4 linked regions of the Struthio camelus genome follow. The protein of the gene in region 1 binds, or shares a complex with, the protein of each later gene. Links are inferred from orthologs where the notes say so. Each region holds a gene or a part of one and is shown on either strand. Other genes may lie near its edges.

Region 1 (7,827 bases):
TTTGTCACTTAGATAATATGATGATTCTTGTCATTACTGATGTTTAAAGTTATTAATGGAATACTGCATGCTGTTCTGCTTTCCTATCTTAAAAAAATGCTATAACTATGATACAAGAAGGGTGAGAAGATTTATCAAGATATGGAATGAATTCTATTAAAGGAACAACAAATAGATTAGGATTCTTGAGCCTAACAAGAGTTGAAGAGTAGGAGATATGCCAGAGGTCTTAATCATAAGTGGCATGGAAAAGGTGAGCAGAGAATGATCATTTTACTACCTCTTCCAAGACAAAGCATGCACCAAAGGAAGAGTCAAAACAACAGAGATAATATTCACATGCTATGCAACTAATACGAAGAATTACTTGATATGGGATAATGTGACTTGATATGGGATAATTCAAAAAGCCAAGAGAAAAAAACAGAAGAGACGCGAAGCTCTTTAGCTCAGGAAGACCCAGGACAGTAGGTGGAAGCGAAGATAATATCCTGAGGAGATACTACTAGCTTGCCATGTCCTTATGCCCTTCTTTAGACGTCCACTCTTGATCACTGTTGGAGACGAGCTACTGACTTGATGGGTCTTTTATTTGACCCCAGCTGGCTGTTAAACTTGTGGAAAAGTACTTTTCAGGCTGACTTCAAATAATAGTTGAGAGTTTTATATGAGTATTTATTCTAAGACTATTTGGAAGTAACTTTTTTTTTTTTAATATATTATCTTCAGGATCTGCTGAAGACACGACTGTTGAAGTTACTGCCTCTAAAAGTGGGGGAAGTGTTGCAAATTGTGGAAAGAGAATAACCCACTTAATGCAATAGGATTCTTTCATTATGGAATAATCTCTGTGACCGTCATGGACTCTGTATAAAACGGACACACAGTCACGTATCTCTGCCAGATGTACCTATTTCAGTGTTGGACTGCATAGTTTTTATTGTATTTTGCAACATTTCAAAACATAAACTAAATCTTTTAAGAAGTGAGAACTAACAAGGAAACAAACCTGATTCATAGAAAAATCACTGCAACATTTAATATAGAAATACTTTTTAATATACCCAGGAATGTTTGGATGAAAAGCTCTTGCACTGTCTTACCAAGGTCTGGAGTTCAAATTCACTGTGAACTTTTATGATGCCAGTGCAATACTTCTATTTGTAAAGTGCTTTAAAAATATCTATGTAAAACTATTGAAGCAAAGTTACAAACGTAGCATAAATTGTTTATAGTGTAAATACACAATTTATTGTGACTCTTAATATATTTCGTCATCTTGGAATAACTTAGAATTTGAAATTTTGTAAGTAACAAGTAAAAATAGTGTTGTTGAGATACCGTTTTTTTTTTTCTTCATAGCAGAAAATGATGTAATATGATCGCTCTAAGAGGAGGCTTTTTAATCCATTGATGTTACAGGAATTATTTTTCTAGTGCTGAAACATTCAGAAATCTATAGATTAACAAATGCTTTGCTTTACAAAAATCTTACCAAATCTACATGCAAACGTAACTGAAATTAGAACTAGCACGTGGGAAAAGATTTATATTACAGCTAAAGACGCGAGAAATCAAACACAGGAAATTCCACTTGAACGTAAGAAAACACTTTGAGTGACTGAACAGTGGAGCAGGTTGCCCAGAGAGGTGGTGGAGTCTCCATCCTTGGAGGTATTCAAACCCGACTGGATGTAGTCCTGGGCAACCTGTTCTAGGTGACCCTGCTTGAGCGGGGGTTGGACCAGACAATCTCCAGGTGGCCCTTCCAGCCCCAATTAGTCTGTGATAATTGTGCCTAAAAATTCTGTGTAGGAGAATTTCCTAATGAGTTCCTCTGTTTCTGAACTAACGCTAAGAGTTTGAACTTACCATTAGCAAATATGGGTAGGTCTTCCACTTCTAATAGACAACTGTTTTTATGCCACACCTAACTGAATATAGAGGTGGATTTAAGGAAAACATTTAGTAGGAAAACAGTGGCTCTACTTCCTTGTGAACTCTTGAAATGTCTTCCGACTTTCTGTTCCAAATAATTTGTAACTTTCTCTTGTACCTTTCTATGCATAGTCAATTTTAAAATGTTTTCCAAATGCTTTCAATCTTTCAACAAGTTTAAATAGATGCTAGACTTGAAGGTCTGTAAAATTTCAATTTCTTCCTTAATAACTGTAGCTTTTATAAGGTATCTAAAGTTGTTTCCTTTTTCTTTTAGAGGAACTGCAATGTGACACCAATATGTTGTTACAATGTGCTGTTTAAATAATCTCCTTCCCTAAAAACCTATAGATCATTGTTTCAGGGCTGTTCACAAGAAACACGTTCATTTACTTGTTCTGAACAGAGGTAACTGCTTGTACTGATCCCCCATAGTTTTGATCTGTGAACTGAATTATGAGATGTAATATTTAGTAAGTGGAATGATGAGTAGCAGCGATAATTTAACCCAAAACTTTTGTGGGTAGCCGTTCTCCTACTTACTGTAGTGATTAATCCCGAATCCAGCATTGGATACCCAGTGATAGTTGTGTAGGATGGTAGATAGAATATTGCCTGTTGTTGCAACCCCACTCAGCAACTGTGAGGGATTCCGATGTTTGCATTTATGAGTAGTCTACTGTGCGTGTCTTAACAGTTAAATATAAGAGTTGACACCTCAGAAAAGAAAGACCCAAGTTAATCATAGAAAAACACTTAAATGTTACTAGTAGGATGTGTCTAAATAACGATAAGATACAACATACTTGCATGGGAGCAATGATAACTATTGTAAGCTATCATACTTTTATTTTTTTTGAAAATGTAAAATAGTTCCTGTTTAATGTGGTCTATTTTTTATTTCCTAAATAAGGAAGACTGCAATAGTAAATAGAAACCAGCAAGTCAAACAATGATTAACTGTTAAACATTAGCATGTATTTAACACTATTTGAGCCTCCCAGGATCCTTATCAGTTGTAGCTCAATGCAGAACGAAGTCCATTCAAAGAACTTGTATCTTGTTTATGGGAGGAAAAAAATTACTTGTTCATTGTTAGGATTGCTTGTACTTCTGTGAACTCTGAATTTTGCATATACTGTGAGAATTCTTTCTAGACTTAAAGGACTGTCCTTACTCTATGTTTAAAAACAGCCAAAATCCGAAAGAACCCAACTCTGGTTACAGAAGTTTGGTTGTACAGGAGTTTTTTTTATACCTGCTTTACGCCTTAAAGCTTAGCTGAAAAATGGCATCCTATATTCCACTTCCTTACATGATAACTAAAGGAAAAAAGCCAAACCCTGATCTTGTAACCATAAATGAGTGAATGTTTGTTAGAATCTTGTATGTGGGCTACATCTGAAGAGACTTTTAATGCAATATATGCTGTTTACTTTCCTTAAACAGAAACATCTTATGAAGGGACAAATTAGTAAAAGTTAATTTATTAGTAAATTCTGCAAAAATCTCTTCTGTTTGATTTTTGTTTGATGGGTGTATTTGGGGGGGAGGCGGGCATTTGGTGGGAGGGAGATATTTATTCCAGTAGCAGTTCGTGTCGAAAGCAATAAGCTGCAGAAGAGAACAAAGGTCAAATAATCTCATGTTGCTGTAGCTGTTTTACATGTATTGGAGCAGGAAGCATTCAGCTGGATTAAAAAAAAAGTTTTGAGCAAATTGAATGTTACTGAAGAACTAGATGGAAAATGCCTGCTTCCTATTCATATTTATCCTGGTTGCTCTGAAAGCTATTGGAGGCTTTCACGTATAATTCTTTTTGAATTATATGTGCTGCTACGACCATTAATAGTATCAGCTGGCGTCTATCAAAAACATGGCCTTTGAAATAGCAGCAGCTAATGATTTTCTCAACAGCAATTTTTATATATACATATTGTTTTGAGAGGAAAAGCAGTTGTTAGCATAGAGATAGAAAAGTCCATAGTTTATTTTATATCATTCTTCAAATGCTGTGCTAGCAGTGTGGTGCTTTAATATAGCCCTAGCTTACAGGAAGAGGATGAAAAAGCCCAGAAAGCTTCTCGAAACTCTCTGCCTGTCCCTTTGCTCTAACAAACGCTTAATTGCTTCCCAAGGTCAAAATTTTTTTTTTTTAACTGAATTTTTCAGCAATCTTTAATCTTGAGTAAAAGGGATCATTTGACAGTTTTTTTTTTCCCTTGTTCTAGGCCGTAGTAGCACAGCTTACGATAAAAAAATAAACTTGGAAAAGTCTGAATTTACTAGCTGGCTGTTGCAATCTTGGTATCGCCAGCATGGGATCTCGATGTGCTTTGGGATGTGGGGACTTGCGACGGATCTGGCCAGTTCTCAGTGCAGCAGCTCGCAGGTCATCTCGTATTTCATGTCTTCAGGTATACACATAAACAAAAAGTCACTTGGCCCCAAATCAGAGATGCAGTTCTGAATGACGGACGGTGACATTGACATGACCTTGGAATTCTCTTTCCCTAGGCAATTCTCAAGTCTAACACTGAGCTTGAGTGTTTACTCGCACTGCTCTTTAATACCTTCCAGCTGTGAGTATTAAATGTCTACGACGGTGTTTACTTACCCGCAGGTATAGAAGGGAAAACCTAAGAAAACGGGGGCAGTAGCGACAGCGTTTTGCCCGGCGGGTATCTCCCCTGTCCGCTCGCCCCGGCCCTGCCGCCCCGCCCCCTCAGTCCGCCCGCACCAGCGATGCCCAGGCCAGAGCAGCAGCGGCCCCTCCAGCCGTGCCGCTCTATGGTGCGAGGGGCGGAGCAGCCGCCCTTTCCGGGGAGGCGAGCGCCCTTTCCGCCCGGGGCCGGCATGGGGCGGCGGCAGCGGCTGGCGGCGTGCGGGGGCCGCGGCGGCCGGCGCCGCCTCCGCCGTTAGCGGGGCGCGAGGCGAGGCGGCGCCGAGGGGCGGCGGCGGCGGGGGCGACGCACGAGGAGGTGCTGCCCCGTCTCCTTCGCGACCCGGGGGGTGGGGGCCGTTGGGACGCGGCCGTTGGTGCCGGGCGCTCGTGCGGCGTCGCCTCTCCTCAGGCGCGGGCCTGTGACCATGCTGGGAGGGGACGAGTTCATCAGCTCCCCGCCGAGGAAGACGGTGCGGTTCGGGGGCACCCTGACGGATATCCTGCTGAAGTACGAGAAGGTGATTATCGCTCTCTTTTCCCCGTCGTGGATCGCGGACGTGCTTGCGCAGCTCTTCGCCGCCTTTCCGTCGCGTGTGTTGCCATCCTGTTAGTTTGCGGCACTTAATTTGGACATGAAGACTTAGTTTGTCTTACACGAGAGGGTGTCTGGTGGCGTAGGAAAAAGAAGGTAGCTGAGTGCTTTGGGCATATGCCAGACTGCGTTGTTCTCTAAGTGAAACAAATTCCCCGACGAGTCTGTCTGAGTGACGCCTTTGATGGCTGCAAAGTCTGACTGATACCAGAGGACGCCAAGTGATCGCAACTGCCTCTATAGGGAGAGGAGCAGAAACGACCTGATAGCTAAAGCTGCCCTTCAGGGAGAGCGTTCTGTTACTTCTGCTTTACTTGAGCTTTCTCAGTTATTTGTGTCGCTGCTAAACAATGTCAGCTTGTTTAGATGTGCTGATGAAGCTTAGGTTTGTATTTTCTGGCACAAGTCCATAAACATCATTTGCTCTTTTTTTTTTTTTCTCTCTCCCCCTACTAGGGTGAAACCAGTGATTTTGAGTTGTTAAAGCATCAACTGTCAGATCCAGACATAAAGGTAAGCGTTTTTGTAGTGAAGGGTCTGATGACCTAAAGCTTAGTTACAGATGTGAGTGTAATCATCGGGCAAGTGATTCTGGTGTTTAAAGCAGTTACTGTTTTATTATTATTAATGGGCTTATTGCAAGTAGATCAGTTTAGAAAAGTGCCTGTCACTTGCCTAAATACTTTCCTTTAAACATTTAGCAGCATTTAACAGCTCTTTGCTTTGTGGGAACTATCAAAATTGAAAGTCCAAACAAAAAGCCAGCAACTGTCTGTTTACACAGAGACATGCATCTTATATGCATGACCTTGATAGGTATTCAAGCGACAAAAATGTCAAAAGCGACATTTACTATTTTTGTGCTCTAGAGTGGGAAACTTTTTGCTTTGTGCCAAGGGCCTGTCGCTCTATGTATGGATTACTTTCGTAGATCAGTCTGTTGTCTTTCCTTCTGACTTTTACAGCCTCTAAGTTACATTAATGTTTACTTCCTTCAGTTCTTATTAAATGTTTAATTAATTAGGCAGTGAGATGCATGTACATTTAGCGTTTGTACCCAGAAGTATTGTTTTAAGAGCTGCTCATTACAGCCATAAGTACCCATCCTGTCTGCCATCTTTGTTTCTTTTTTTTATTAAACCACTAAACTATAAGAAGCATGTTGCAGCAAGTATAATGCCAAATTGAGTTTCTCCTCTTTTTAAAGAGGATGTTGTGTAAAATTAATTGTTTTTAGCAGACTTTTCGGAGACTACAGGCAAAATCAATGTAATATTTCTCTGTAGATCTGCTGCTGTTCCACTATCGCTCTTATTTCAAGACTTGGATGGCCTTTCTGCTTAAACTAAGAGCAACAAGAAAAGAAAAGAGAATTAACATTCTCTGAGCTCCATCTCTTTTAAATATATTCTGTTTAAGTCCGGTTTGCATCCCTTGCCCAGACTTTAAGTTAAATATTTCAGGCAGGCTGTTGCTTTGAAAGATGCTATGCATTTATTCTTGCGTTGAAGAACTTTTATTAGTAGGGAGACAAACTTAGTCTGAGAAATTCTTGTCACATTAACGTGAAAATAATTCCTATTTACAGTCTTAATCTTTGTTTTGTCATTTTAAGGTTATTTTCTAGTAATAGGTCATATTATTTATTGAAATTGTTACTTGTTTTTTTCTGTTTATTTTAAGGATGCCCAGATCATTAATTGGCTACATGAATTCCGAGCTTCTGTTGCATACTTGACCAAAGATCTTGAACAACTGGTCAACATTTTGCTGGTAAATATCTGTTTGCTATATGCAAAGATTAAGAGTTTAGTACTTAAAATATCTCTGTGTTTGACATCTTCATCTTTACTTGCTTTCAGAAGCTGCCGTGGTTGAGAAGAAGCCGAGATGTAGTTGAAGAATATTTAGGTTTTCTTGGCAATCTAGTGTCAGCACAAACTGTCCATCTTAGGCCATGCCTCCGCATGATTGTATCGCAGTTTATTCCCCGTAAGTTACTTTTTTTAATTCTTCTTTACTGGCTTATCAAAATGTCTCTTTCCTAGATTAATTCTATTAGAAAACTAATCCATGCTAGAATTAATCCAATTATCATTTTTTTTCTGTTGATTCCTTTTTTCACTTCAATGACTGAATCGGAACACAGTCCATTTTATGTACCTTAGATTTCAGAACACACATTCTAATGGCTAATACAGTCAGATACCATTTCTGAAAATGTCTTGGAGAGGGGTGAACTGTATTATGTTGTTATAATTGAAAAAACAAATGCTGAGATGAAGATCATGTCAATGTTTTAGAGAACCTTCTGGCTCTATGAATAAAACAGTTGATTGCAATAAGCTGAATAAAAAGTCAATTATAGAAAGTCATGGGGATAATTTTGATGCTTTAGTTCCAATGAAGTCTGTCATCCAGTGTACTTTGATTTGGCATCAGAACTGTTACCTATACGATTTGTATGGTTTTACAATAATAATCTCACTTTTTGCTAGCTCGGATAACTATCAGAGAGGATGATGTGGACATTTCAGATTCTGATGATGATGAAGAAAGTGAGTATAAAGGAAGCATGGGTTGTGTATACTATTGTACTACCTTTAGTAAACAAGTGTAGCGTGCATGTTGG
Region 2 (7,710 bases), on another chromosome or scaffold:
AAGTCTAGAACTGCTAGTCAGGTGAACAAGTCTGAAAGCCTAAGTAGACTGTTTCAGCTACTGCAACAAAGCAGCCTAAATAAACAAAGAAGCCACAGGATAGGAAGGGAGACCTCAGAAGTCAATACGTGGTTAAAGAAAAAGTGGAAGAAAACCATAAATGCTCAATGGAAGGAGATCAACAGTAGAGACTACAGAGATCTTTCCTAAGACTGGACCATTTGACCTGTTCATAAGTGATTTGAAAAGTGAGAAGGAAAAGACAGTTTGCTTAGGAAAACCATTTATTTACAATAACAAGATCTGACAGAGGCTTTGCAGAAGGCTCCCTTGACTGTAAGAAACGAGGTGACAAAAAGCACAGTGGAAAAAAACAATCTTAATTTTATGTGTAGAACGACGAGCTCTAAGGGAGCCACTGCCACTCAGAAAAGAAATCTTGGCATTACAATATGAAAACACCAACTCAAGAGAGTAAATCAAGTCTCAGGAACTACTAGGAAAGGGAACAGAAACGTTACTGTGCCTCTGTAAATCCATGGTGCACCCTACATCAAATCCTCAGCACAGTTCTGGTCTCAAGCCTAAAGGATGACCAAAGATATGGCTTCCAATGGCTTCTGCGCGAGGAGCTGCCACAAAGACTAAGACTGTTTAGCTTGGAAAAGCGAGAACCTCAAGGGGGATACGATGGAAGGACATGCAATTAACAGCAGCATAGTGAAAGCAAACAGGGAATGATTATACACCGATTCCCGCTGCGCAAGAGCAGGGAGTGGGAGAGACTGAACAACCAGTCCAAGCACAAGGCAATACTTTCTCACATAAGGCACAGCCAAATTGTTGGGCTGGGACCGTCAAACATTTGCACAGATTGAAAAAGCGAACAATCTTAGGAAAGAAAGAAAGAAACAATGAACGTATGAAAAAACAACAGCAGCAGCCACTGGGAAAACGTCTGCAAAGAATCTGTGCGACTGCCCCACTTTTATGTTCAGACAAGATACCGCACTTAGAGTGGCTTTTACCATAATAAATGGCAACGATTCAGAGAAAGGAGGAAAAAAAAATAAGCAGAAACTGCACACAATCGTTCTCTTGCAAGAGACCCATGCAAATTTACACCTTGGACAAAGCTACACAATTTTAGTGGCAAACAGCAATGGTCCTCTGATGCTTTCACAACGCAAGGGAAAATATTTGCCAGGGATGTTTCTCTACTCAAATTTCAGAGCAATCTGGAAAACCGATGAACACGTGATATGAACAAAAGGGATTTATAAAGCTGGGCTTTTACACCAGAGCAATACTGATTTTGAAACCTGGATTCCTGTAGAAACAAGATTTGGATTATCCCTTTCTCTGAGGTTAAACAGGTCTCCTTCCAAGATCTTCTGAGCTGGCTAGCTGATTTCTACCCAAATTTGACAGCAGGAAAGGGAAGATCATTAAGGTCCTACGAAAAAGGAGCACAGAGGGGAAGAGATGTTTTAAGGGCTCAAAGAGAAGAAGCTTTTGCAGTGGGCTCATACTTCATCAGAACTCGAGACTCCATACAGGACACAGTTCTGCCAAGTACCTGCAAAGCAGGTGAAATTGGAAAGTGATCTTTAGCCAAAGTACACGCAAATTTGTGGAGAAACAAGCTTCCGTTAGCTTTGCTCTTGCGGAACTAGTGATGTCATGCTACCGTACGTAATGATGTAATATATATCAGGCCCTGGAGAAGAACAGCGTACTCCCTGCGAGCCCCAATGCTTACAGCTCAACACTTACCATTATTTTCCCCCGATACGTGCTTCGGAGGCCCCTGCACTCCGCCGGGTAAACCTTCATATCCTGACAGATGGTCCCTTTTGGCACCATTGGGGGAGAGATGGAAACTCCCACAATAGCCAGCGAGATGCGATCGCTTTTGAGAGCAAACTCCAGCGGCTGGAGGTCCTGAAACAGACACGCGAGGGCGGTCAGGCTCCCCAGACGTAGGTCGGGGGCAGCACCCAGAGCGGGGGCTGCCCGGGGAACAGGGCGCCCCCGCTGCGACCTCTGCGTCCCGCCAAGCCACCCGCTGGCCCCGGCCCCACACCCCCGCTCCCCTGACTCACCTCGCCCTCAGCCACCCCCAAAAGCCAACCCCCGGGCCCTCGCTGCTCTACGCCCGTCCCACCTCGGCCCTCGCTTGTCCCCCCCAGCCACCCCCCGCCAGCCCCCAGTGGTCTCCCCCCACCAGCCATCGCCCCCGACAGCCCCCAACAGCCTCCTGCAACCGCTCCCCGACGGCCCCCCCAGCTGCCCTCCAACGGCCCCCCGCAACCACCCCCAGCGCCGCCCCCTAACCGCCCCCAGTGGTCCCCCCTGACGGCCCCCAATGGTCTCCCGCAGTCGCCCCCCGACGGCCCCCAGTGGTCCCCCCCACCGGCCCCCAATGGTCTCCCGCAGTCACCCCCCGCCGGCCCCCAGTGGTCTCCCGCAGTCGCCCCCCAACGGTCCCCCCCCCTACCGGCCCCCAATGCTCTCCCGCAGTCGCCCCCCGCCGGCCCCCAACGGTCCCCCCCCCCGACGGCCCCCAACGGTCTCCCGCGGTCCCCCCCGCCGCCCCCCGACGGTCTCCCGCAGTCACCCCCCGACGGCCTCCAATGATCCGCCCCCCGACGGCCCCCAACGGTCTCCCGCAGTCGCCCCCCGACGGCCCCCAATGGTCCCCCCCCCGCCGCCCCCCGACGGTCTCCCGCAGTCGCCCCCCGACGGCCCCCAATGATCCGCCCCCCGACGGCCCCCAACGGTCTCCCGCGGTCGCCCCCCGCCGGTCCCCCCCGCCGGCCCCCCGACGGTCTCCCTCAGTCGCCCCCCGCCGCCCCCCGACGGCGGCCGCCCGCACCTGCACGGCGCGGTAGACGCCCTCGCTGATGGCGTAGTTGAAGGAGTCGAGGTGGGCGCCGGGCAAGTCGCGCCGGGCCTCGCCGCGCGGCCGGTAGCGCGGCCGGCGGCGCAGCCGGTGCCCCCCGCCGCCCGCCGCCATGCCCACCGCCCCCGCGCCCGCCGCCATGCTGCCCGCCGCCGCCGCGCTGCCTGCTGGGATGCGGCCGGGGGCGGGGCTGAGGGGCGGGGCCGCATCCGCCCCGCCCCCCGGCGGACGCGCGCGCGCGCACCCCACGTGTGCGCCCTCCCCCCTCCCCACCCCGCCGCGCATGCGCCCCAGGGCCTGACCCACGGCCACGTGCGCTCTGCCTGGGACCCAGAGCCGTGTCCCCCCCATTCCTGTCCCCCCCCAGCCGTGTCCCCCCCATTCCTGTCCCCCCAGGGCTGTGTCCCCCCATTTCTGTCCCCCCCCAGCCGTGTCCCCTCCATTCCTGTCCCCCCAGGGCTGTGTCCCCCCATTCCTGTCCCCCCAGGGCTGTGTCCCCCCATTTCTGTCCCCCCCCAGCCGTGTCCCCTCCATTCCTGTCCCCCCAGGGCTGTGTCCCCCCATTTCTGTCCCCCCCAGCCGTGTCCCCCCCATTCCTGTCCCCCCAGGGCTGTGTTCCCCCATTCCTGTCCCCCCAGGGCTGTGTCCCCCCCATTTCTGTCCCCCCCAGCCGTGTCCCCCCCATTTCTGTCCCCCCCAGCCATGTCCCCTCCATTTCTATCCCCCCAGAGCCGTGTCCCCCCCAACTCTGTCCCCCCCAGCTGTGTCCCTCCATCTCTGTCCCCCCTCCAGCAGTGTCCCCCCCATTTCTGTCCCCCCAGAGCCGTGTCCCCTCCAGCCATGTCCCCCCAGGGCCATGTCCCCCCCCAGCTGCGTCCCCCCCATCTCTGTCCCCCCAGGGCTGTGGTGCCCCCATTTCTGTCCTCCCAGAGCTGTGTCCTATGCAGCTCTGTCCCCCCATTTCTGTCCCCCCAGGGCTGTGTCCCCCCCAGCCACATCCCCCCAGGGCTGTGTCCCCCCCCGAGCCGTGTCCTATCCAGCCATGTCCCCCCCAAGGCTGTGTCCTCCAGCCATGCCACCCCCGGGGCCGCGTCCCCCGGAACCACGTCCCTCCAGGGCCGTACCCCCCAGGCCGTGTCCCCCCTGCCGCGGGCGACCTGGCAGCGGAGGCGGGGAAGCTCTGGCCCCCCCCGGCCGCAGAGGCGGCACAGCACTGCACACCCAGTGCTGCAAACTCAGCCACAAAACCTCCAAATCACCCCCTCCCCGGAGCGAGAGGCAGAAACGCTCATGGCGGGGGCAGGCAGGAGCGTTTCCCAGCTGCTGTGCCAGTGCCGCGAGCCCCGGGACCCGCTGTCCCACGGGAACGCCACAGCCTCTGAGATTTCCTCTTTTTAATGGTGGTTTAGGACAGATCTGAATACAAACGCTGGAGAACCACGCGCCGCTCGGGGTCCCGCCGGCCGTGTACACACTCGCTCGTGCGACAAGTGCTTTGGAAACAAAAACTGGAGCCCGGGAGCTCTGTATGTCTGCCCCAGCCACGGCCTCCGGTCCTTTCAAAGCCTTTCATGGATTTCTGTGGACTATTGTGGCTGACACCGATAATGACACACAAGCATTAACCTACTTACAGCACGGCATCGCTCTCCTAGCGGAGAGCGGCACTTGGAAAACAGACAGGCAAGCAGTCCCCAAGGGCTTGGACCACAGACAGGCAAGCAGTCCCCAAGGGCTTGGACTACAGCAGGGAACGGGAGCCGGACCGCTCGGACGAAGGTGCTTTCGAGCCTGTCGGACAGCCCCAGGGTTTTCCACAGGCTGCGGCCGGCCACGGGATTTCAGTGGGAGCCCGAGAGCTGTCGCTCCGCAGTCACAATTAATCTGGTATGAGAGAAGCCATATGGGAGTTAAGTGAAGCCCAGGCTCCGGCTGGACCAGACCCTGCTGCAAAACACAACCGGAGCATCTGGGTCTAAATCCTTTATGGCTGGACTGAAGGGATACAACTGCTAAGACTATGGGCGGGCTCCTCCTGCAACCCAGCACCATCCTCTGTCAAGGCTTAGGAAAGAGAGCAAGACCTTGTCTATTGACCTTTAAGCTGAATCAAGCTAGAAAACATTTATTTTTGCATTTTTTTTCCTAAAAAATAAAAGTGTGCGAGCATCACTTACAAGGTGCCCCCACGGTCGCAACGCTCAGGCCTCAGCCGTATCCATCTCATTCTTTGCTCCACCTAACAAATAATAAATGGGGCTAATAAATTGGGCAAAACCCTAGGTACCGCACTGGCCGTCCTTTAGCGTTTACCTCCTGGGCTTTGCTTGGGGGAAGCACTTTGAGGGGAGATGGTGAGTGCTCACACATGGTACCCAGTGTTTTCCTCTAGAGGCTGTTGCTTATTCAGCAAACAAACCAATGATTAAAGAGTCCCTGAATCACTATCTCCCCAAAATCCAGCTGAAAAGGCAGGTTATGAGTAACTGCATCACCTGGGGCCATTGTTTTACCATTGAGTTGAAGCCCTGCTTTTAGCTGAGCAGCAGAAATAGCCAGTTGGGGACGTATCTCAATGCAACCTGAGGCGAAAAAGGGCGGAGGGAAAGGCCTTGGAGTTATGCAGAGGTTCCTGAGTCACTGCTCTTCCTGGCTGTATCAGCTGTGCTGATAAAAGATGCTTCTCTTCCCTGCATCCGGGCTGCTTTCCTAGCCTTATCCCACTACATCGGCAGGGATCTAATCTTACATACGCTCAGGAAGGGAGCGTTTTGGTTTCTGAATTCAGGGTGAAGGGAAAGTAAAGAGGGGTCTAGGACCCCAGGGATTTTTCATTTCCTTATGACGGGTAAAGTTTTCTCACTTCATACCTGAGGAGCTCTGGTCTGGTCTGGTGTAGAGCTTGTGAGAGTGCAGTGTCTGCTCAGGCACGTTCTGGACCAAGGCTATTGCTATTAGATCTTGCCTTTGCTGGGGGAAAAAAAGGTGCATTTTTAAGCTCACGGTAGCTACTATGTGAAAATGTCAGTGGAGACCTGTTGAGCTGGCAGCTCTGCGAGTCACATGAAACACCTGTTACAGCCTACATTTTACCTGGGACTATTAACACTATGCTTCGGGCTGGTCTGCAGGGCAATTTTCACACCTGTGTGCTATCACGAGATTAGGACACCCAAACAGCCCTTCCCTCATACCTCCTTCTCCCAGCTTATGACCCACCATTCCCCCACCGCTTTCTGGCTCATATGAAAACACAAGAGGTCCAGTAAAGCCAGAAACTGGACATGGTGCTCAGGGCATTGCTGGAAACAAAACCACCCACCAGCAAGTGGAGTCCAGGCGTCCTTCGCACGCAGCCTGGAGAAACAAAGCAGACACCCTGTTCACACGCGGCTATCGCTCCTCGTCGCTTCCCAGCGTGCAGCAACCGAACTGCTTTCCAGCTCCAACGCACCTTGCGTCTGCCAAACGCCATGCAGACTCCGCTCCGTGCGGCGCTTCAGAGCGTTGACGACGGGCTTGCCTGGCCTTTCGGGACGCTTCCTCTCTGCAACGCTTCTTTTGGGCTTTGCTAACCACTCTGTTCACAGCATGCTGCAATGAATGTCTGTCCAGGTACAGCATGACCAAAATCCATCACTCCGAGGAGGGGTGGGCACTTCAGTCCTGCCGGCAGGATCACTTGCTTACCAAGCGCTGTGCTGGCAGGAAGACCTCTGAAATCTCAGCCACGACCAAAGGTGAGTATGTCAAAGCGCCGGGATCGTTTGTGGGAGGCAGAAATCACACTGCTTGATTCACTTCCCATTAAACGCAGGCAGCCAGAAGCTTGTAACCTCCATGATCTCTTCTTGTTTGTTTTGCTTTGGGTAACACGAACAAGGTCTGTTTTATTTCATTGACAACCATCTTTCCGTGCAAGAGCCAAGAGAACATGGCCCTGACCTCGGCAGCACAGCCTGCTCTCCTGCTGCAATTAAAATCCCCAAAGCTTCAATTTTCCATGATGCTTTCCTGTTCAGTGTTGGAGCGAATCTCAAACAACCCACATCGGGCAGTAGTTCTGTGTTGCTTGCACAGGTGCTTATCTGTCATCTGCCCTTAACCATGATTAAAAACACGTAACCTAAGGTACATCCCCACATCACGTGCAACGTGCGTAAAGAAACTCCAAACTCAATACCACCGATGCGCAACCCAAGCTTTAATGGGGAGCCTGCGAGCGCTCAGTTCTTTGCAGACACTGCTGCAGCCTCCTAACAGCGAGACCTAATTGTTAAGCTTTGCGCCTCTGTTCAGAAAGTTTGGGACACAGCACAGGCCACACGCCACCTAGCAAAGCCAGCTGCTGTCATGAATGCCACTGTGCTCTGCAAAGAGCCCTGGCTTAGGAGAGACGCGCTCTTTGGGTTTAGGCTAAAAATTTGGGTAAACCGAATATTCCAGGAATTTAGGTTACACTCAAAACAGATGTTAGTTCAGAAATTCAGGGATCTAAAGGAATTTAACCTCCTTCCCCCCAAAATGCCTGCCCTTCCCAGCTGTGTGGCAGATCTATAGACAAGCAGTCTCTCGCTTGCTCTACAAAACCTCATACATCTTCCCCCCAGCTGGGACAGAGCAGCAGATTCCGTTCAGGGTAGAAAAGCACAATATCTGTTGAACGACGGAGAATAAAATTGGCTGGATCAAAAGGAATAAAAATCGGTTGGGCTGAAAGGTTTTACTTTTGAGTCTCAAATGTATTAAGGTGGAAGCTGAGAGAAGAGCCTATATTCACTGCAGTGTCTCCAAAGAAGCTTTCC
Region 3 (7,984 bases), on another chromosome or scaffold:
ATTACACTGTACTAACTCTGTGATTTCCCTTTACCTGAGCAGAAATAAAACCTTGGAGTTAAAAACCGATCATGGCTTAGGTTTTATTCCTTTCTGCACACACGCTGTCCCAGGGACAGGGTGTGCTGCCTGGCTTTGGGGAGTGGTTGACTAAAGAGTATTACTAAAAAGCAGATAGAACTAAAAAAAAAAAAAAAAACACAGCGAGCCTGCTCACAGCAAGAGCAGAAAGCCCTGAGTTGAAATCCCTTCTCCCTCCTCAGCACAGCTGTGTTCCTGAGTGCCTGCCTATTTTAACTGCTGCTGATGCACACACTCACTCAGAACTACAGTAATATTAGAAGTTCATGTTTGCATGAGGCCACACTGCATCTTCCTCCCTGCCACCTGCCAGCATAGCCGTTCCCAGAGCGATGCAGACAGAAGTAGGTCATAGATGTGGACAGTGACACTCGTGTTAGCGTCTCACCGTCAATAGAAACTGCCGGGCTTTGGGTTGTATGGAAAAAAGGAGTGACGTTTTTCTCTGTGAATTGTTGTGCTCTGCAGCACTGCATAGCGAAAAGGAGGCTCTGCTTTGTCATATTTTTAAAGGCTTTTCCTCTATGTTTTCTTCTCCTTAATATTGTTGAGCAAGACTGCCCCTTGCAGAAGGGATCTGATGCGTGCGTAGGATTTTGCAACAGCTTTCTTCTGTTACTGGCTGTGCATAAATTATTCCTGCCTTCTGGCTTTAGGCAGCAGGTGCTACTGCCCCCTCTTCAAGGGGATCCTTGAGAGACGGACAGACACAGACCAGTCCTTAAGACTCAGATGATAAGGGAAGAAGACCTGGGACTAAATTGTTCCGGTGTTTTTTCTGGGCCTAGTCATGGCCATCAGATTTGTTCCCAATGGGAAAGTCTTTTGTTGCGATCTCTCTCATTTCCTTGCTTCTCTTCTTGTCAATGATCTCCATCTCCCGCAGTTTCTGCAAAGCGCAAAGAAAGGCCTGAGTGGTGAGCATGCCAGGAGCTCCTACTTTTTTTTGCCAAAGCCAAGAACAAAGGTTCTTCTTCCCTAGACTAAGTTACATGCAGACATGGAAAGAAAAGCTGAAAACCCCTCTCCCCCAGTCCCCTAAATTCACACCTGCCCCGTGCCATGAAAAAGAACGCTCATTTCTCTGCCTCTTCCCAGTCTTTCCCATGCACCACGCTTGGTTATCAGAGGGCTCAGATTTCTAACACCACGGATTCCCTCTACATGCTGTAGCACCAATGCCCCCAGGGCCCTCACGTACCTGTGAGATTTCAGTGAGGACAATCCCTCGATACTTCTTGCCCTGTCCTAAAGCTTCCATATCTGCCAGGAACTCCTTCCTCTCCTGAACTTCATTCACCACTAAGCCCAAGGAGAAGAGAAAATAACGTGCAAACAGAATGCAGCCAAAAGGCAAGCAAGCACTTTTCTGTTTAGCTCTGAACCCCCAACTTCCTAGCTCCACTGGAACGGAGGTCCCACCAGGGGAAGGATGATATCTACTCTAACAATTATCTTCACCATGTCACCAAAACATCTCAGCAGTTTTTTACGTAACAGGAGTACTTCCCCCACGCCCCCAGCCCCTTTCTCTACCTTGCCAGAACAGTAACTTTCTAGTTTTTTATGTGCAGGCAACACTGTTGCTTGCAGGCATTTTATCCAGTCTGTGGATGGAGATAGAAATCGTCTTAAATCTGTTGAGGTTCACTAGTCCACATGCAGCACCAAGTAACCACACACAACCATATTTGGTTGCAGGACCAGCTCATGCACAGAAGCACTTCAGCTGCTTTTTTGCAGCACAGACCCGCAGCCAGTTCCTGAAACAACACCTGACACGGCACAGTACACGAGTACTTTAGATGTGTCAAGGACAACAGTGAGTTTGAGACAAGTTTTATAGGATCCAAAGCACGCGTGGAGCCAACCACGCTGGTTTCCGTGCATCAGGGACCAAACCACCCCTTGCAAACACATTATCTGCGTGTTGTCATTCTTTCTTCTGCCCTGGTTAAGGAAGAGCTAGCTGGGGTGCATGCATGCATTGCAGTTTCAGGCACACAGAGTTATAGAAGGCAGGGTTTTGCCATCCCAGAAGACTCTGTAGGCCAAAGTACATCACTACCTAAAATTCTTCTCTACATTTAAGCTTTGCTAGTGTAACTGCACTGATTTGGGAGCAAAAGAAAATGCAGCCCAAGCCACACTGAGGCTGGCAAAAGTCCTAGTCTACATGGAGTTAGACCGGCTGGAAGAAGGATCCACAGCAGCTGGGCTTTCTGCCGAGGTTACCCTTGCAAACCGCTAAGGTAGTCCTGTGCCAACAGAGTTGATTTTGTATGGGCAATCCAGAGAGCGTGACTCTGTCAGCAAACCTTTGCAGTATAAATTCTGCTAGGAAAGCTGGATCAGTGTCACAGCAAAAAGTCCTTTCTCTTGGAAACTGGGCTTTGTGCCTCCTTCCGCAGTGGGCTTCAGATTGCTGGCTACATGGCCTGCCACTCCAGCTCTTAGAGGGAGCTGAGTTCCCAGGCCTCCCCATGTGCCTCACTCTAGCATCCTTTACATACGTTCTTCAAAGCGGTCAAGCTCAGGTGTCTCCTCTTCCTTCGCCTGAACCAGCGTCGGCTTCACTTTGTGCTCCACCACATCCTTCCCTGTCGCCAAGATATTTTGGAGTCTTTGCTTCTCCCTTTCCAAATCTCCTGTGAATTGCAAAGAAAAGAAAACTATTAGCAGCCTGTCTCCTCAGGGAAGGAGCCTGGCCGCATTGCTTCTCTCCAAATGATGGCAGAGGAAGCATTATGTTAATGACAGCCCATCTCCAGACTGAACTGCGCAGCCCTACACAGATGTACTTGCAGTGAAGAGGCAACCAAACTGACATCAAAGGTCTGATTCACATTTATAAACTGGAAAATATATATAGTATTCCCTTCTTAGGCAAGGATCACATGAGTTCCTATTACCTATCATCTTCCTAACCAAGCAGGCGTTGGCAACGAGCGTTTACAGATGTTCCCTCAGAGCTCTCTTTTTATGCATCTTTGAAGACAGAAAGCGTGAGGATGAAGAGCAACTAAGAAACCCCCCTAAGGTTACTGAGATGGCAAACAGCGCATGGATGTAAGGGACTGGGCAGCAGGATTTATTTATTAGTGACATTTGCTGACTTACGCCTTGCCTGTGGTTTGAATTTCTCTCTGGTATAGGCATCTCCTGCCTGGCAGATCTTGGCAGGTCGAAGATGTGGTTTAGCTGGAAGCCTGCCTGGCAGACAAAGCTTTGGGGGAGAGAAGGCAGACTCTGCAGGCTGTGGCTCTTTGCTGGATGTGGGGTTGCACTGGAGGGGCAGGGTATCTCCTCCTGGAGGTCAAAGGAAAAATACTGGTAAGTCGGACACAGAGGAGCCTATGGCTTGATGGCCTTGGACCAGCAGAAGGTCTGCCTAGTGATCCACCGGAGTACAGTGAGCAAAGATCCCAAGTACCACAGATGTCTTACCCAGTTATTGGTTCATTCGGACATGAGCGAGACTGGTTCAAGTCCCACCATTACGTTTTCTTCGCTGGACTGACCCTTGGGGACACCTCGCCCAGCACAATGTCAGCAGCAGCTCTACTGCTATTTTAAAGGCAAAAGTACAACAATGAAAGGAAGAGGCAGGCCAAGGTTGGACGGTTTTCTCTATGAGAACAGTTTCCACTACAACATATGAAAACAGAGATCAGGAGAGTTAGGCTGGACCTGATGCTGACAAGAACATGACTTCCTCCCAAGTACTGCCCATTCATTTGTTTCTTGCCCATCCACCTAGTCTGCAGGCCAACGTTCTTCGTCTCATGGTGAGCAACACAAACTCAGCAGCACAGGGTGGAGAGCAAGATGGATGTTACTCACGTTTCACACAGTCCATCAGGTGCCGCCTCTGGAAACTTGTAAGCTTGGACTCCTCCATCATTGCTGAAAAACATGGCGCATCTGTGAAGACTACAGCCTGAGAAGGCTCCACTCTTCACCTTTGGCAGCTAGGACAGGTGAAACGGCTTGGTAAATCAGCCCTGGGGAAAATCTCTACTTACAAATCAAAATCCAAAGCGGGGAAGATCAAATTATTTTGCAATTTCAGAAACATCACACCAGGACGCTCATATATAGATACGTTCACTGCCAGGTCTAGCATCTTGCTCTGTATGTTTCTCTCTCAGCTCTCCCTCGAGGGGATGAATTAGGGGGAGTGTTTTATTTCAGGAAAGACTTTCTTTTTTAAACTGACCACACAGTTGCTATATAGAAGCAGTAATAACCGGATCCAAACGCTCTGGTTCTTCACTTCCTTCAGGCCCCCCCCCCCCGCCGCCGTTACCTTTCAGCAGCTCCTGGGTCTCCCGGCTGTATTGAGCTGTCCCAGGAGGGTGCCAGAAGTGAGCTCCTTTGGCCGCAGCTGGCGCTGACCTCCTCCTCTCCCGGGACGCCATCGTGAAGCCCTGAGAACAGCAGCGAGACAAGGCCACCGAACGTCCCCAACGGCATCGCCTCGCCGCCGGGCCCGGCCGTTCGGGGTCCCGTCGCGCAGCCTCTGCACCCCCGGGGACTCCGGCAGCGTCCCAGGGAGCATGGTGACAAGTGACGTCACAGGCGCTGCCCTTCCAGGGACTGCGTGGTGACAGGTGACGTCACAGGCGCTGCCCGCGAGGCATCCGTACCCCGCCGGGCCCTCTCACCTTCCCTCCGAGGCGCGACCCAGCCTGACGTCACAGCGCGGCACTCTAACGCCACAAGGGGAAGAAGCCCAGCGAGCCAATTAAAAACAAAAAAACAAAAAACAATAGCAACAACCACACCCACAAAAAACCCTCTTCCCGTCTCCATGGCGACGCGCGGGCGGGAAGGAGGGGACGGGCAGGGCGGGGGGGGGGAGCGCGGCGGTTCGTCGCCACGGCAACGGGGCCGCCGGTTCACTTCCGGTAACGTCACGGCGGGCCGCCGGAAGTGGCTGCTACTTCCTGGCAGGAGGCGGAGGAGGCGGCATGTCTGACAACGAGGATAAGTGAGCGCGGGGCCGGTGGCGCTGGGTCTGGGGGCGGAGCGGGGCTGCGGGGGCCGGGCCGGGCGGCACAGGGGGCCCCGTCGGGGGGGGGGGGAAGAGAGAGGAGGAGGCGATGGCGGCCCAGGGCGCTGTGCGACGTCCGTGTCCACCCGCAGCTTTGATGGCGACGACTTCGACGATGTGGAGGAGGACGAGGGGCTGGAGGACCTGGAAAACGCCGAGGAGGTGAGTGCAGGCGCGGCGGCAGCCGCTCCCCGGGGCTGCCGGCCGCGCAGCCAGCTTGGAGCTGCTGGGCTTCTTCGCAGGTCTTCTGGCAGTGCTCTGTGGAAAACCCTTGGTTAGCCTGTCTTTCAGGCCCTAAAGGCGTCATGTGTTTTCCCAAAGCCTGGCTGTGCTGCTCTTTGGATGCAGTAACGCTGCTGTGCTGGTCTGTTTTTCCCAGGAAGGGCAGGAGAATGTAGAAATCCTCCCGTCTGGAGAGCGTCAGCAGGCAAACCAGAAGCGGATTACCACCCCCTACATGACCAAGTATGAGCGAGCCCGAGTCCTGGGCACTCGTGCCCTCCAGATAGCGTAAGTGTTTTGCTCTGTGTCCCAGCTGTTACCGTGGCTGGCCTGCGGGCTTCTAGGGTCTCCCATCTGTATTTAAGTTGCTTTTCTCTTTCCTGGAAGTATCCTGGAGCTGTTGAAGTTCCTCATGTGATCTCTGAGCTAGTGGACCACCATCTGTGCCGACACTGAAAAACAAAGCCTTTGAGTGCTTAGTCCCATGTGAAATCTCTGTATCTTTTCCTAGCTAAGGTTATGGTACTTGTGTCTAGAAAGGGAGGTGTTCAGCAGTTGTAGTGCACCTTCCGATGTGATAGGTAAAAGAACAGGGATGTGATAGGCTGATCCTGATTTCTGCCTTTCATAAGATGAGCCAGTCTGTGCTGGAAAGCTCGGAATCTGCTAGCAAAAGCCAAGATTTGAGGGAGTAAAGTTCCAGAATGTCTTCAGTTGATCTCATAGGGCTGTAGGGATTAAGAGTAATGATCTCAACTTCTTTTTAGACTGCAGTTGTATTGCAGCTATATGTTTCTACAGCGTTTGGATCAATGGGACCTCATTTGTAATTGTACTTAAATCTTATTTTAAGTGCTGTTGAAGCTGGCTGCTCTCGACATCTTCCATTTACCTTTCTGGATCTATTTGAATAACGCATGTCAGAAGACTGCCCCGCAAGGAAAGAGGTTGTTAGGCTGTGGTAAAGTTTGTCTGAAAAGGCATCTCTGAGTCTTATCCTAGTTATGTGCACTCTCTCAAAATAATGCTTCTCCTTCATATCACTTAGAAGCTCGTAGGTGGTGATCAGATCTTTCCTTAGTCATCACTTTGCCAGGCTGTTCTTTGCACAGTCAACACTCTGTGAGGCTGTTTTGTGCACATTCCTTCAACTGGTAGAAGGCCAGAAAAATGGGAGAGATGAGATGGGTCTGTGCCAGACCTTTAATCCATATGCTCTAGTGCCTGATTGGGCTTCGCTACTTACTCTGCCTTCAACACCGAATCTAGGCCAGCAGCAGCCCCCAGTGGCCTTATCCACACATAACGTGAGCTTCCTTTGCTGCTGTTGCTTAATGGGACAGATAATAGTCAGCCATGTTGGCTGTGCTGTTAAACTTCCTGCGAAGTGCTTTATTTTTTTCCTGGAGATAGTGTGTCATAAAACCAGCCTCTTACTTTACCCCAGGTAAAGCCTGGAAAATAAGATCAGGTCAGGAAGTAAGAAATGTGGTGGAACTGTAGATGGCATGCCCATTTTATAGTGTTTCCACTCTCCTTATTGGATTAATTTTAGAACTGCTCTTTCCTTCCTCACATTTATGTACAGTCCAGGGGGACTCCAGGAGGATGTGGTTTTGACCAGCTGTGAAGCCCCAGCTGCAGTTGAGGGACGGGTCAAGAAGAACATTCAAGTAAAAGCTCAGTCCATAGCCACTTGCATCTAGTGAAAGCAGTCCTGCCACCACAAGATTGGAGTGGGGGACATTTCTTCCCAAAGTGGATAAAAGTGCAAACCTTGGATTTGCCAAGGTGCTGTTCCTCCCTCCTACTTTGCTGAACTTTGGGTGAAAGACATAATAGATAACGTGCTTAGTTATCCCTCTTCCATCTCTGCGTATTCTCTATTTGATTGTTGTTATTTCCACTCAGGATGTGTGCCCCTGTGATGGTGGAGTTGGAAGGAGAGACAGACCCCTTGCTGATTGCCATGAAAGAACTCAAGTAAGTCTCAGATTTTGACAGTGGGTGTCAAGCAGTCCTACTCATCCTAGCATGTAGCGGCTTATCCTATGCAGGTTGTGCACTCACTCTGTAACAGTGAGTATTACAGTCGCTGTCCCCTCTCCCCTGTTGGGACCGCTCCCCAGCTGCAGGTAGCTTGGGTATTGCTGTGTCCCATGCTAGGAGCTCTTGCAAAGTACTGATTATTAGCAGTACTTTGACTTCTTTTACTTGGAAGTCCAAGTGGTTTTTATTCCCTTGAGAACCCACGTCTCCATCTTTCTGGAATCAGTTTAATTCCCTGAAAGGAGCTGATGCAAAGCAGCCTTCCTAACAAACCTATGTTCGAGTGCTGGCAGAAATAAAATAAAGGTCAGGTTTGTGATGTGGAGGCCATGTTAAGAATGTTTTTCTCCTGCACCCTTCCATGCTTGGCTTACTGTGATTGCAAAAGACTCATCTCTGCTTCCTGCCTCCAGGTTAGGGAATCTTATCTGGTTACCAGAATGTGTTGCATAGAGATGAAATACAGTCATAGCCTTTCTGAGAGGCAGCTTCTGGATGACTACTTACAGGCCCACCTTTCCACAGCAAAGCTCCCTGCTGGTCCACAGTTCACCAAGATGGTCAGTGACCTACTAG
Region 4 (7,663 bases), on another chromosome or scaffold:
TGTCGTGGCCATGCCAGGCTGCTCACCACGGTGGTCCCAGGCTGCTTGTCGTGGCCGTCCCAGGCTGCTCACCACGGTGGTCCCAGGCTGCTTGCCGCGGCTCCCACCTGGAGCTCGCGTCGTGTGCTCGCCCCCGACCCCGCCAAGCAGATGGGTCCGACAGTGAAGCCTGGCTCCTGCCAGCATTCAGGATCCCTGTGGGGATCCTTTGTCCCTGCTGGGGCCCTTTGCGGGTGCTGGCCATGTCCCCAAGGTGCCCTCTGGGTGCCAGCTCACCCAGGCAGAAGCAGGGGCTGCGGGGACGGTTTTGGGAACAGATGGCCCAAAGCCTCTTCAGAGACACTGTGACTAGCTAAATAACAGGGCTCGGACCCCGCTGGCCGGTGAGCCACCTGTGTCACCCAGGGCCAGCAGCAGGGCGAACAGATACCAGGATGCGCTGTCCCAGGCAGAGGCACTGGGCTGCACTGGTCCCAGGCAGGGACACTGGGAGGCACTGGTCCCAGGCAGGGGCACTGGGCAGCACTGGTCCCAGGCAGGGGCACCAGGAGGCACTGGTCCCAGGCAGGGGCACCAGGAGGCACTGGTCCCAGGCAGGGGCACTGGGCAGCACTGGTCCCAGGCGGGGGCACCAGGAGGCACTGGTCCCAGGCGGGGGCACGGGGCAGCACTGGTCCCAGGTGGGGGCACTGGGAGGCACTGGTCCCAGGCGGGGGCACTGGGCAGCACTGGTCCCAGGCGGGGGCACCGGGAGGCACTGGTCCCAGGTGGGGGCACGGGGCAGCACTGGTCCCAGGTGGGGGCACTGGGAGGCACTGGTCCCAGGCAGGGACACTGGGATGCACTGGTCCCAGGCAGGGGCACTGGGCAGCACTGGTCCCAAGTGGGGGCACTGGGAGGCACTGGTCCCAGGCAGAGGCACTGGGTAGCACTGGTCCCAGGCGGGGGCACTGGGCAGCACTGGTCCCAGGTGAGGGCACTGGGCAGCACTGGTCCCAGGCAGGGACACTGGGATGCACTGGTCCCAAGTGGGGGCACTGGGAGGCACTGGTCCCAGGCAGAGGCACTGGGATGCACTGGTCCCAGGTGGGGGCACTGGGAGGCACTGGTCCCAGGCAGGGACACTGGGAGGCACTGTTCCCAAGTGGGGGCACTGGGAGGCACTGGTCCCAGGTGGAGGCACTGGGATGCACTGGTCCTAGGTGGGGGCACTGGGAGGCACTGGTCCTAGGTGGGGACACTGGGATGCACTGGTCCCAGGCGGGGGCACTGGGCAGCACTGGTCCCAGGCAGGGACACTGGGAGGCACTGGTCCCAAGTGGGGACACTGCGAGGCACTGGTCCTGCTGTCAGAGAACAGCCCATCACCCTCATTGGGGGGGGTCCCTGCACCCCTCGCCCTGGCCGAGGGGGTCCCCGCACCAGGTCCCCCGCGGGCCTGCCAGCCCGGCTGCTGGGCCAGCTGCCCCTTGCCCGGGGCGGTCCGGCAGAGCGGCGCCGCGCCGCCGGTCACCTTGGGAGCCGCCAAATATAGAGGCGCCGGGGCAGCGGGGAGGGCAGCCAAGGCCCAGGGCCGCCGCGGGCAGGAGCGGGGCCGCGGGCGCGTAGGGGCCTCGCCGCCGCTCGGCCCTTTTCGGGGCCTTCTCCTGCCTCCCCGGCCGCGAGCACCCGCGTTGCAGCAGCGCCCGCTGCCCGCGCGCCGGGCTGCTGCCCCGGGGTCGCTCGCCCCGCCGGGGTGGCCGTGGGGTCCCCCCCCCGCCGTCGCAGCGGGGCCCCCCGGGCCGTGCCTCCCGCCGGCCACGCTCCACCTCCGCCCGCCCCGAGCGGCCGGGGACGCATGTGCAGAGCTCCGGCTGCCAAGGCCGCGGCGGGCGGCGGGGGGGGGAGCGGTGGCGCGGCGGGGGCCGAGGCCGAGGCGGGCATCGGCGGGGGGGAGGCGGTGGTGGCGGCCCTGGCGGCGGGTTTCGGGGTGGCCGAGAGGGTCACGGCGCAGCCTGGATGTGGAGATGGCGATGGCAGCCCCCCCACCCCCCGCCCTGGTGCAGACCGCTCCGGCATCAAATTAACCCTGATTATACATAATCTCGTTAGCGATGGCAAGCAGGGCGGCACAGGACAGCTGCCTGCACCCCAGCTCTAGATATAGGGCTGCGGGGGGGGGGGGTCCGAGCGTTTCCTTGGGGAGGACATTGGGGTCCCCGAGGGCTCTCCAGGGCTAAGCGGGACCCATCGCTACACCCAGCTTTTCCCAGACCGGCTCTAAACCCGACGCGGCCGTTCCCGCTTTTTGCAAACGGCCGGAGACAGATGGAGGTAGGTGGCCAGCGTTTTCCAGCCCGGGGCCGGCAAATCCGCTGGCCGGCGTCCCTCGCCTGGGCCGGCCGTGCTGGACACCGTCAGCAGCTCTGCGCCTCCCAAACCGCCTTTTTCCCCACCTGGGTGTGCTGCCGCTAGCAATTTTTCACGCCGACTGGTGCAACCCCTCTGCAGCATCGGAGCTGCCCGCGGAGCTGCCCGGTGCGGCGCGGGGCCGCGGATGCGCACCCGCGCCGGCACTGAGCCCGTGGGCCTGCATCACGCGGCAGGGGCTCGCACCCGGCTCCGGCCGAGCGCCCGCTGACGGCAGACGGAGCCGTGGCCCAACATCCGCAGCATCGGCGTGAAACGCTCTGAAAGCCGGGAGCCTCCCAAAAACGGGAGAAGCAGCAAAGAGCCTGCAGGCCTGCACGCACCTTCGCATGCAATCTTTGTGCTTTTGGCAGCAAGAATACCCACGTGTACAAATAACAGCGATTAAAAACTCCCTTTGCAAGCAGAAAGTCCTCTGGCGCGGAGGAGCGCGCAGCAGAGCAAGGAGGGGAGCGTTTTGAGCAGGTGTTTGTGCGGCGTCTCCGTTTCTGCCAACCTGCTGCAGGTTTTTACGGCCTGTTCTCACGCCTCACGTTCCCTTTTTGGTAGCAAAAAAATATAACCGCGTTTCAGGCCGTCCGTGACTGCTGATCACTGCTAGCTGTGCAGCAGCTAGAGCTAGCTGGGAGTTTCCCATCCAAAATGGCTTTTTGGTTAGGAGGCATCGTCGGCTTGCAGCGGCGTGGGAGCTTTAAAAATAAAACAAAATAAAAAGGGGAAACGGGCATGTTGTTGAGGTGAGACATCTGCTAGGCTTTCTGAAAGCTGCTTTCCACTCAAATGGGTCTTTGAGAGATGAAAAAAATAATTAAAGATTAAAAATGCCAGCGTTCGAATGTTTGGCCTGATTGTCTGTGATTTCTTTTTTTTTTTTTTTGGTAATTTTCCCCCTCTTGCAAAACAGTGACATTTCACCTAATTTAGAACAGGAAAACCAGCTCAGCAAAGCGGCCCTTTCCACGCAGGATAAATATATACGTATTTTTTTTTTTTTTAATCTTTGGCCAAAGGGATTAGCTCCGCGGAGCCGCCTGGCACGCCTCGGCGGCCGTGCCGGCTGGAGAGCAGGCCTGCGCGGCAGCGCGGCAGCCGGCGGAGGGGCCGGCCGGCAGCTTGGCCGGCTGCTCTTCCGCCTCCGACTTTCGCCTGCAAGACAAGGCCCGAATAAGCTGCTTGCGTCAGCCTGGGAGGGGGCCAACTGCACCTGCACTTGGGGGCTGTTTTTCCCCTTTCCTTGTAGAGAGCGGTGAAAAACCCGCCGGATTTTGGCTGTATTTCCCAGGCGAGCGGACGGAGAGGCGCCTGCTGGCATTTCCGCGGCGGTTGCAGCGGCGGGGCTCTACCTCCCTATCCCACGGGGTCCTGGGCAGGGGGGGTTCCCCACCAGCTCCCGACCCCCCGAGCCCTTCGGCAGGTGCCGGCGGGAGCTGCCGGCGCGCAGGACGGCCGGGAACGGCGGTGGCACGCCAGCGGCCCGGCGCGGCCGGGAAGGCGCCGAGCGCCGGGGTGGCCGGGCACGGCCGGGAAGGCGCCGAGCGCCGGGGTGGCCGGTGAGGCGCAGACAAACCGGGGCAGCCGGTAGTGTGCGAGCAGCCTGGGATGGCCCGTAATTTGCAGGCAGCTTGGGATGGCCGGTAATTTGCAGGCAGCTGCCCGGCCGGGATTGGCTGCGGGGAATGACGCCCAGCACAACAAAGGTGGAGTTGGAGAAATTGCATTAAAAAAAATTAAGAGCGAGAGAGAAGGAGAAAGGGAGAGGGGAGCGGAGGGAGGGAAGGAGGGGAGGAAACTGCCCCTCGCCCGCCCCGCCGGGGAAATCCCCGAGCGTGGCCGTGTCCCGGGCGGCGGCGGCCGGGCGCCCGGGGCCGGGAGCGCGGCCACAACGCCGGGCGCTGCCCGCCCTCGCTGCCCGGCGCCGGGGGTGGCCCAGCGGCAACCCGCGGGGTCGGAGGGGACCCACCGGGGCGGGAGGCGGCTCGGCTTCCCCCACCCCCCGCGCTTCCCACCACCACCACCACCACCACCCCCCCTTTTTTTTTTTTTTTTTTTTTTTATGCAAACGCCAGGAGAGGATTGTTGCACATGTAAGGAGATTTTTTTTTTTCCTCCCCCCCCCTTCCCTCCTCTCTCCTTCCTCCTCCTCCTCCTCCTCTTTTCTTCTCGCTACAGTGTTGCAAAAGCAAAGAGCAATAAAAAACACAGTGAGCGGCGGTGGGAGCGCGGGGCGGCGGCGGCCGGCGGGCGCCGCTGGGGAGCGGCGAGGCTGGCGGCGGACCCCGGCGCGCAGAGCCCGGCTGATTGGAAGAGAAACGCAGCGCCATGGAGGCGGGGGAAGCGCGATCTCTCTGCGGGGACTGGAGCGCGTCCACGCCCGGGGCCAGCGCTGCAGAGCTGGCCGCCGTTCAACCGGCGCTCCCCGCCCCGGCCCCGCCGAGCCCCGGCCCCGCCGAGCCGCGGCCCCAGCCGCGGGCCCGCAGGTACGTGCGTGCGCCGGGGGAGCGGAGCGGAGCCGCGCCGCGCCGCGCCGTGCCGTGCCGCGCCGCCCGGGCTCGCCATTCGCCGCCGCGCCGCTCCGCCGGCGGGGCTGGAGGAGGCGCTTTGTTCCTCCCCGGGCTCCCGCTGCCGCCGCGCACCGGGCTCTCGGTAAGGCGCCGCCGCTCCGATCGCAGCGAAGGTGGAGGGGGGGGGAAGATTTTTGTGGCGGTGTCGGTGGAGGAGAGAGGGGGGAGGAGGTTGATTTAGATTTGTTAATTTTTTTTTTTTTCAAAAAAATTTTTTTTTTCCGCTCTCCGGGGCGGCCGCGCAGGCCCCGCGGGCAGGAAGCCGCCGCCGCCGTCGGGGCTCGCTCGCTCCCCGCCGCGCCGCGCCGGGCCGGGCCGGCGGGGGGCACCGCGCTGGGGCTCGGCGCGGGGGGAGCGCTCGGCTCGGCGGCCTCGGTGCCCCCCCCTCCTCCTTCCCTTCCCTTCCTTCCCTCTCCTCCTCCTCGCTCCCTCCCTCCTTCCCGCTCGCCCTCCCTCCCTCCCCGGCTGCTGCAGCTGGATTTCGGGGGCAGGCTTCCAGCGCTGGGCGGTTGTTTTTCCCCAGCCCGGGTGAGTCCCGCGCCGCGGCGGGGAGCTCGGCGCCGCCCGGCCGCGCTCCGGAGGGTGCGTGCCCGGGCTCGTCCGCTTCCCCCCCCCCACCTCCGCTTTATTCCCCCGCTTTCTTTTCTTTTTTTTTTTCCCCCTTCTTCCCCTCTTTTTTTTTTTTTTTTTGTCTTTTTTTCCCCCCTTCTTTCTTCCTTTCTTCCCCCGGACCGAGAGCGGGGCTCCAGCCCCCCGCTGGGTGGGTGGGTGTTTCTGGGCTCCGCCGTGCGAGGAGGGGTCGGGGGGAGAGGAGGAGGAGGAGGGGGCGGCGGTGGTGGTGGTGGTGGAGGGGGGGGGTGGTGGGTAGGAGCCGCTCCCCGGGGGTCGGTGCGGGGAGGTCGCGCTGCCCTCGCCCGGCTCGCTGCAGCTGCCCGGCCGCCCCCAGCCGGGCATCCCCGCCCCCCCTTCCCCCTCCTCCTCCTCCTTCTTCTTCCCCCAGCGGCTCCGGCGGGGCTGGGGCTGCGGCGGCTCGGCGAGCTTCTCTCTCTTCCCCCCCCCCACCCCACCACCACCACCACCTCCCGCCTCCCCCTGCAGCCCGGAGCCTCGGGAGGTGGGTTTGTCTCGGCTTTATAACCGCGCCGGCTGCACAGCGCCCAGGGCGGCGGGCTGCGGCGGAGCCGGCGCGGCGCGGCGCGCCCCGGCGCGGAGCGGCGCGGAACGGCGGGCGGAGGCGGGCGCAGCCCGGCCATTGTGTGCCGCGGCGGAGAGCGGCCGCGCCGAGCCGAGCCCAGCCGAGCCCGGTAACCGCGGCGGGTGGAGGGAGGAGGAGGAGGAGGAGGAGGAGGGGGGGGAACCGCAGCAGCAGCAGAGAAGGGAGGGCAGAGCCGCGCCGCATTGCCCGGGCCCCAGCGGGCTGCAGCGCCCGGCGGCGGCGGAGGGGGCCGCGGAGCGGCGGCCGCATGCAGCGCGGCCGGGGGCGGGAGCGGAGCGCAGGGGAAGGAAGGGCAGGGCCGGCGGAGCGGAGCGGAGCGGGGAAGGGAAGAGCCAGCGGAGCAGCGCGGAGCAGGGCGGCGCGGCCGGGGGAAGCGGAGCCGCGGGGCGCCCGGAGCCGGGGCCGCTCCATTGTCTGGGCGGGCGGCGGGCGGGGGAGGCGGCGGCGGCGGCGGCGCGCGCTGGCGCCCGGGCGGCGGCGGCGGCGGGAGCCGGCGGCGCGGCGCGGCCGGGGGCGGGCGGAGGGGCCGCGGCCGCGGCGGGCAGGGAGGCGCCGCCGGGGCCGCCCGCGCGCGCGGGTCCCACCCGGTTCCTGCTGCCTGGCGGAGGAGGAGACTCGGCGCTGGCCGGCGGCGCAGGGCATGTGCGGCCTCCCCGCCTCCGCCCGCCCGCCGGCCCGGCCCCTTCCTCCCCCCCCCCCTCCTCCTCCTCCTCCTCCTCCTCCCCCCCCCAAACACACACTCCTTCCGCGGAGGAAGGGGGGGGGGGTTGGTTCCCGGTGCGCCCCCCCCCCCCCCCCCCGCGCCCGCGGTTCCCGGTGCGCGCGCACCGCGCATCGCCCCCCTGCCCCGCCCCGCCGGGATCCCGCCCCGCGGTCCGCCCCCCCCCCCCCCGCCGCCGCCGCTGGGGCCGGGCCTCTGCCCGGGGGGGGGGGTGACCCCCTCCAGCCCCCCCCCACTGCCGCCGGGGCCGGGCTTCTGCCCGGGGGGGGGGTGACCCCCTCCAGCCCCCCCCGCCGCCGCCGCCGCCGCTGGGGCCGGGCTTCTGCCCGGGGGGGGGGTGACCCCCTCCAGCCCCCCCCCCCCCCGCCGCCGCCGCTGGGGCCGGGCCTCTGCCCGGGGGGGGGGTGACCCCCTCCAGCCCCCCCCCCCACCGCTGCCGCTGGGGCCGGGCTTCTGCCCGGGGGGGGGTGACCCCCTCCAGCCCCCCCCCCCCCCCCACTGCCGCCGGGGCCGGGCTTCTGCCCGGGGGGGGGGTGACCCCCTCCAGCCCCCCCCCCTCCGGGGGTGATCCTCCCTCTCTTTCCCCCCCCCTCGGGGATGGTCCATCACTCCCCCTTAGGGCCTGCCCCCCCCCACCCCCAAAACTGCCCGCCAGCTCGGGTTCCCCCCCCCCCCCCAAGGCCTCGGGCCTGCGCTGCTGGGTGATCCCTGCCCGGTGCTCCATGGATTTCCCCCCGCCCCCCCCCCCCCCAAGAA

Evidence for each region.
Region 2: RRN3 (region 1) and POLR1B share a complex: the UniProt entries of both Homo sapiens proteins name them as parts of the pol I pre-initiation complex. The link is inferred for Struthio camelus from reciprocal best matches to the Homo sapiens genes RRN3 and POLR1B.
Region 3: RRN3 (region 1) and POLR2F share a complex: the UniProt entries of both Homo sapiens proteins name them as parts of the pol I pre-initiation complex. The link is inferred for Struthio camelus from reciprocal best matches to the Homo sapiens genes RRN3 and POLR2F.
Region 4: RRN3 (region 1) and UBTF share a complex: the UniProt entries of both Homo sapiens proteins name them as parts of the pol I pre-initiation complex. The link is inferred for Struthio camelus from reciprocal best matches to the Homo sapiens genes RRN3 and UBTF.

The regions. Positions count from the first base shown.
Region 1 is NC_090956.1:11,723,191-11,731,017, reverse strand, and holds the start of RRN3 (RNA polymerase I-specific transcription initiation factor RRN3), read left to right. Parts: upstream 1-4,824; 5' UTR 4,825-5,028; coding exon 5,029-5,121; intron 5,122-5,651; coding exon 5,652-5,708; intron 5,709-6,878; coding exon 6,879-6,968; intron 6,969-7,057; coding exon 7,058-7,187; intron 7,188-7,693; coding exon 7,694-7,753; intron 7,754-7,827. Other genes in the region: transmembrane protein 238-like, read left to right, coding at 730-739. UniProt on the Homo sapiens protein: Required for efficient transcription initiation by RNA polymerase I (Pol I). Required for the formation of the competent pre-initiation complex (PIC).
Region 2 is NC_090944.1:147,740,613-147,748,322, reverse strand, and holds the start of POLR1B (DNA-directed RNA polymerase I subunit RPA2), read right to left. Parts: upstream 3,010-7,710; 5' UTR 2,879-3,009; intron 1,945-2,878; 5' UTR 1,867-1,944; coding exon 1,777-1,866; intron 1-1,776. UniProt on the Homo sapiens protein: Catalytic core component of RNA polymerase I (Pol I), a DNA-dependent RNA polymerase which synthesizes ribosomal RNA precursors using the four ribonucleoside triphosphates as substrates.
Region 3 is NC_090942.1:58,570,730-58,578,713, reverse strand, and holds the start of POLR2F (DNA-directed RNA polymerases I, II, and III subunit RPABC2), read left to right. Parts: upstream 1-4,979; 5' UTR 4,980-5,054; coding exon 5,055-5,074; intron 5,075-5,229; coding exon 5,230-5,299; intron 5,300-5,516; coding exon 5,517-5,647; intron 5,648-7,270; coding exon 7,271-7,342; intron 7,343-7,821; exon of another isoform or gene 7,822-7,933; coding exon of another isoform or gene 7,934-7,976; exon of another isoform or gene 7,977-7,984. Other genes in the region: C1H22orf23 (UPF0193 protein EVG1), read right to left, coding at 866-970, 1,283-1,383, 2,595-2,729, 3,202-3,390, 3,925-3,987, 4,391-4,502. UniProt on the Homo sapiens protein: DNA-dependent RNA polymerase catalyzes the transcription of DNA into RNA using the four ribonucleoside triphosphates as substrates.
Region 4 is NC_090966.1:4,609,042-4,616,704, forward strand, and holds the start of UBTF (nucleolar transcription factor 1), read left to right. Parts: upstream 1-4,657; 5' UTR 4,658-4,886; intron 4,887-4,952; exon of another isoform or gene 4,953-5,052; intron 5,053-5,281; exon of another isoform or gene 5,282-5,498; intron 5,499-5,973; exon of another isoform or gene 5,974-6,084; intron 6,085-6,178; exon of another isoform or gene 6,179-6,274; intron 6,275-7,663. UniProt on the Homo sapiens protein: Recognizes the ribosomal RNA gene promoter and activates transcription mediated by RNA polymerase I (Pol I) through cooperative interactions with the transcription factor SL1/TIF-IB complex.